Linked DNA regions of Saccharomyces cerevisiae S288C. Changing the gene in region 1 together with any one later gene gives a genetic interaction. Each region holds a gene or a part of one and is shown in the gene's direction. Other genes may lie near its edges.

The links.
Region 2: mutations in GTT2 (region 1) and SFG1 together harm fitness more than expected from each alone (negative genetic interaction), as found in Saccharomyces cerevisiae (one large-scale study listed by BioGRID).

The regions. Positions count from the first base shown.
Region 1 is NC_001144.5:20,637-23,677, reverse strand, and holds GTT2 (glutathione transferase GTT2), read left to right. Parts: upstream 1-1,838; coding exon 1,839-2,540; downstream 2,541-3,041. Other genes in the region: HSU1 (cystathionine gamma-synthase), read right to left, coding at 1-109.
Region 2 is NC_001147.6:903,096-906,550, forward strand, and holds SFG1 (Sfg1p), read left to right. Parts: upstream 1-1,664; coding exon 1,665-2,705; downstream 2,706-3,455. Other genes in the region: YOR314W (uncharacterized protein), read left to right, coding at 1-277; metal cation transporter COT1, read right to left, coding at 3,141-3,455. UniProt on the Saccharomyces cerevisiae protein: Probable transcription factor required for superficial pseudohyphal development in response to nitrogen starvation.

The DNA.
Region 1 (3,041 bases):
CTGGCACCTTTTCCGCATAGCCTATTGCCGAATCCCATGTAGGAATGCCAAAAGAAACAGCATAGTCTAGATTGCTGGGAAGGGGTTGCCCAAATTCAATTTCCGTCATAATAATTTCCACGATGATTAATAGTTGTTCAGTGGTGGTTGAGTACTAGATTTAAAATTTATGTTTTACCGCACCAGAGAAGAATCACTCAATGCTGGAATTGATGAATTGCATCTTGACAATAGGCATTAATATACTTTTTCAAACACATCATTGTAGTGTGCGGCATAACAACCGTGGCGCGTGTCAAGGACTTCTCGGAACACATGCTAAAGCTCCAGTCTCTATCCGTCTATTCTTTAATTTGCTCGTTTAAGAAAGAATAAAATGCCGTATACAGTTATTTCTTCCGTAAATAAATCTTCTTCAACATCCTTTCTTGAGAGCAGCCACACAAATCTAGAGGTGTCTGACTTAATGCAACACAAGGTCAATCTGAATTCAAAGCTGTGGCTGCATATTCATTAAACATATCTTTGAAGGATATCATTTTAGGTATTGCATTGAGTGGGCTTTTGAATCAAAGCCTAAAATGGGAGTATTATGAAAGCAGAGTAAAAATGTTCAGCACGTTGATCTTGAAAGCAGACGGAAAGTCTTATTAGATGAAATTAATGCTGAAATCTCGAAACTGTTCGCTCAGCTACCATGTGCATGTGTGTGGTGTTGGTATATTTTAGTATACTTCTTGATAAAGGTACCAAAGTACTGTATACACATGATAATAACTGGTTAGTCATCCTGGTGTTTTACTTCTTGGCATTCGGCTCGATCATGAGGATTTCGGGCCGAACCTGCTCCGAAGAAATGAAGAAATCTTTCGGCCAGGCATCATATCACAATGGGTTGCAGAATTTCTCGAAGGAATCACCTGTAGGAGTGAACCTCGAAAAAAAGAAAACACATATTTCATGCTGCATCATCCTTGCAACACAACGCTTCCTGCAGAAGTTTTCGAACAAAAGGCTTGGCAATCCTCACTTACACCCCACTCGCGAATCCACATTTTCACGTGAGCTTGCAACAGAGAATAATAGCGGAAACTTTCCCGTATTACTTAGATATCATATCTTCAGACAGCTAGATATCGAAAATGGAATTTTATTATGTCAAGTTCTGCAGGCGCTAATTATTGTTCAAGTAATGTTTTCGTGAGTCTAAAAGCTCGTACAATAGTTCTTTTTTTGGAACCCATTATGAAGCGGAGTGGATGAATAATACGGAATGAAAAGGGCGATAATGGCAAACAATTACGAGCAAAATTCGATGGATGCCGTATCACATTTGCGACAAAAAAATGATCAAAGATGGTAATAGAGTAAAATTTCACGAATGGAGGGCAGATACAAGAGCGAGATGCCAATAGATCGCAGATTAATGCAGCTGCATTTTCATCAGAAAGAGGTGCGCGTGAACTGTAGGAACAGTAGTGCAATTGGGAGTACGTTAACCACACATTTTGAAATCAAGAAGGAAAGTAGGCGCTGGAAATGACCCGAATCCTATAATCGGACAAGAAGGACATAGAAATCGGTATTTACAGTAAATATTCAAAAGACCTTCTACTACCGTGTGCAAAACAGGGAGTGGATACAAGTGGTTTGATCAAATGGAAGTATTTGATACTTCAGTTTCTCCGTTCCGTGTCCGTTCCCTTAGGTCGCGCTTAGTGCTCGAATTTCTTTCACTGCTTACTAATTCATTCGTTTACGTCTCAAATGATTAATAATGTGCTTCCTGCTAAAGGATAGAAACTTGGTGCTCTATATAAAGTACCTACAAAGGATACATGAATGGCAGAGGTTTCCTGATTTACAATGGAGGTGAAAAGATGAAACAAAAAATGATAATATATGACACACCCGCAGGGCCTTATCCGGCCCGAGTCCGCATTGCCTTGGCTGAGAAGAACATGCTATCAAGTGTGCAATTTGTGAGGATCAACCTCTGGAAGGGAGAGCACAAGAAGCCTGAATTTCTTGCCAAGAACTATTCAGGCACAGTGCCAGTGCTTGAACTTGATGACGGGACTTTAATCGCTGAATGCACAGCCATTACTGAATACATTGATGCACTTGATGGTACACCCACTCTTACCGGCAAAACACCGCTGGAAAAAGGCGTAATCCACATGATGAACAAACGCGCAGAGTTGGAACTGCTCGACCCTGTTAGTGTTTATTTTCACCATGCTACACCTGGATTGGGGCCTGAAGTCGAGCTTTACCAAAACAAAGAGTGGGGACTTCGCCAGCGCGACAAAGCCCTACATGGAATGCATTATTTTGATACCGTTCTCAGAGAACGCCCATATGTTGCTGGTGATTCATTCTCAATGGCTGACATCACAGTAATAGCTGGTCTAATATTTGCTGCAATTGTAAAACTACAAGTGCCGGAAGAGTGCGAGGCGCTTCGAGCTTGGTATAAGAGAATGCAACAGCGCCCCAGCGTGAAGAAACTGCTAGAAATCCGTTCAAAATCCTCGTAAAGTGGCTACTTGAGACAAGTTTTGCGTGGTACGTGGAAACTATATAAAAAGATCCAATCATGAAGCTATTCAAGAGGGTGCCATAGCTATATATAACTGATCGAAATTAGGGCTACAAAATTTAGGGGTTCTTCGCGGCGCCATTCTGTCAAGTAAAAAAATAGCTCAAGCAGTATTCTATAAAAGAATATATATACTATATATGTTAATTGTTTGACGGTGAAAGATTAAACATCAATATCATGATTCGTATTCCTTCCTTTTTATTCGTGATGTTGAGTAAGGTACAAAACCATACCAAACCACTGAAGACAATATCCTTACAGGTAGTTACATTTGCATCGATATTGCCGCGGTAGAGATTACTACTGAAATTCTTTGCTGCTTGCCGACTAGAAATTTAAGAAGATTTCAAATATGTTGGAGCTCACAAGGGGTCACTAAAGTTGGTGCAATAAAAAAAATTTAAGGAAACATGAAATAATGTTTGCAATAGAGAAC
Region 2 (3,455 bases), on another chromosome or scaffold:
GTCTGACGCTGCTGCAGGAACCAACAAAAAAAGGATACTAAACCCTCTTGAGTCCTTGTGTCTTAACGACCGCATAGACGAACACCGTTGCAAAGAAGTCCAGTTATCTTCATTACGAAGTCTATTGTATGCTATGATTTTAAATAGAACCATAGGCAGCGAGACCGGCGTTTTTTCTTTTCTGCTCTTTTCTTTTCGTTACTTCGGAGAGGAAAGAGACTTATTTTACTGCTTCTTCTCCGTCTTTTTACTTAACATTACATATTTATTGGATTAGAACTTTTGTATAGGGGTAAACAATACTGAGGATATTCATAACTATCTTTTTTAGGTCTCCTTGGCTCTTTTAAGTAGAACAAAAAAATCTAGGACAGTTGCTTTGCCTTTTCAATGTCAGTTAAAAAAATAATGGAAACGTTAGTTCCCACCCAGAAAGACAACAAAAAAGTGTTTTCTTTTCGAAGTATTCCAAGATTTCGTTGTCATGGCATATCGGTACAATCTTTTGGTTGGAATGAATAAAATCAGTTATCGTCCCACCAATGGGAATAGAGCATATAATGTTATCTCAGGACAGCAGTGATGTCCAAGAAAGTAACTACGAGAGTTTTACTATACTACATATTATAAGGACAAATAGTTGCATAGCAACAAGCTTGGGGGATAAACATCAAGAGAATGCATTGAGTTACTACGCAGGCCTTAAAGTAAGGCGATTCCACGGCAGTAATTAGTTTAGATAACAACTTACTCTACTGCGAGCTCTTCTTAAAAGACGTGTCCTTTTAAGATTCAGAAGCATTTTCTTGGGTAGGGGTTTTTTGCGTTACTCTGTTTTTTGAGATCGTAATTCGACACATAAAACTCTCAGCTAGCCCACCCTTTGGGCAAGTTATACCTTTCTACTTTCGTCCAATCCATACATCGCCCAATTAGGATAAAAGTAAATAACATATTCGAGTTTTGTAAATATCCGAAAGGGGAAGACAAGGAAATATCTAGGCACCAAATCCCTTTTTGGAAATGCGAACCACGGGAATATGCAAAAAAAAAAAGAAAACAATCCCGCTTTTTCAAGATTTCAGGCCGATTTTGAGATTAAAGTTTGACAGCCTCAGTCTTAAAAACAAAACAGTATGACAGAACGATTCAAAGAAACTACGGACAAAGGATTTATGCTAAACTGGTCACGCCGTTATAGACAGCAGTAATGCATGGAAAATCCCATGGCTATTCTAATCGGGTTTAAACTTTTTTTTTTCAGCTGCGAATATCTCTTAGTGCAAATTGGTAAACAAGAGAGCTCACAACACACTAAATACGTTGTGTAACGATACATAGCCTTGCTTAGGTAAACGACAGATGCATGCCCATTTCGATAGGAAAATCTTGAATTTTAAGCCCGTTACCGTAAATGTCATTCGATACTGTTTACAGTTTAGTTTTAAAGCGGTAACATTCTTGTTAATTTAAAATGGATCAATTTTGTCACTCTACGAGGAAAATCAAGCGAAGTATTATTTAAACGCAACATTTCTTTGTGCCTTCCACACTTCAGCTATATTTGGAACTTAGGCGCGTTTAGGTGATAAGTTGTTCTGTAAATATGTTTGATTAGTTAAACAAGAGAAATATAAAATTAAGAAAAAAAAAATTTCAAAAACATGGATGAAATGCATTCTTCAGACACACTTTTGTTGCGAACACCGAAATCAAAAAAAAAAATTGGGCTTGTAATACCCAGTACACCAAGTAAAAAATGTAAATATTCATCAGGCTTTATAGCAGAAGACACTACGCCCTCCAAACGGTTTCGTTTATACCAAGCCAAATTTAAGACAAGTTCAAAGAATGTCAAAGCCCAAACTCTTAGCGTATCAATAAAAAAAAATCAAGGTGAAATCACCAATCCATTTATGACCGAAGGATATAATGATTACCGGAATATTGTCAGTCCTGGATTGAGTTTTGATAACGACTGCTTTTCAGAACATGAATTAGTTAGTCCATTGAGTGATATATCTTCGATAAACTCGACATCGCCTGATGTTGAAAAGATTGATTCTTTAGATCCTTTTGGCGTTGATTCTTTTGTCTGGAACTGTAAGCCGCTTGTTAATAAAGAAGCACTGGAGCTCCACCGAATGATTCATTCTTCGTTTCCGATGAGCCCACTGGAATCCAACAGTGATGTGCCACTTTTATTGCCTAAACTCAAAAAAAGGTTATCTCCAGTAAACAGATCGACCTTCAAGCCAACAAGGTACGAACCCTCTCACCGTCTATTGAAGCCCAAAAAATCAATTCTAACAGTACCAGCCAAATCTCTGAATCTCATAGTCAGTTCGTCGCGAGGCTCATTAAATGACGCTACCATCTTTGCCACCGAAATAAATTCTACTTTGAGCAATGAAGAAAACAAATTACCAGCAATTTCTAGTATTTGGGAGAAGCTCACAATTCCAGTAAACTCTTCAATTAAGGAGAAATACAAGAAGCTTAAAGACCAAATATATGGGCAAGCTAGTAATTTTGGCGAAGATGAAGATAATGAAGAAGACAATGAAGACGACCTTCCCGACGCGGCAGTAATAAGAGGTTACGAATTTCAGTCAGGAAGGCGCGATGAGCTGACGCAATGTAATGAACTACAGAGTACGAAGGACTACAAAAAAGTTCAGTGGGCAAAGGTTTTAGAACAATAACTAGGTTCTTTTTCTTCTAATTTGTTGAATTCTAAACAAAGGAGTTTTTTTTTATTATTTCTTAACAACTGGTCTTTTTAATTAAATGAAAAAAGATAACAGCATTATTGTGCTAAGTATTGTACTCTTTTTTAGAAGCTGGAGTAATCTAAAAAAAGCTAAACACCATTATTACTATTTTCCTTCCTCAAGTTGTTGTTTTGCAAGACTATTGCTATTATATTATTATTATGATCATCATTATTATCACCTGTTTTCGCTTTTCCTCTTTTTTTATATTATCTCCTATACTTCTTACTGTAACAAAATTTATGATAAACATTGTATAAAAACATTATAGACGACTATATATATGTGTGTGTGTGTATGTATATGTACCGTATAACGATTTTTAAAAGTATTTAATTCTTCACGCTTTTTCGTTATAAAGTCCTTTTAATGATCCTCTAAGCAATCAGCTGTGTTGCAGTTGGCAGCGTCGTCGATAAGACAAGTGGAACCTGAAATGCCAGTACCATATGTCTTTGGCCTTAATGAAAGCGGGTCATTTTGTAGATGATCACCTTGGGAGTCTCCGGCTCTTTCGGTTGAAGTAACCTCTCTGGTAATAAATTCAGGTTGCAAAGTAGCGGAGTGAATGCCATAGCGGTGAAGTTTTGATCTAACTATTTTGGCCAGGTCAGTAAATTGTTCCGGGCTGATATCTAGTTGAATATGCAAAGATGCAATAAAAATAGACTCTGTTAAATT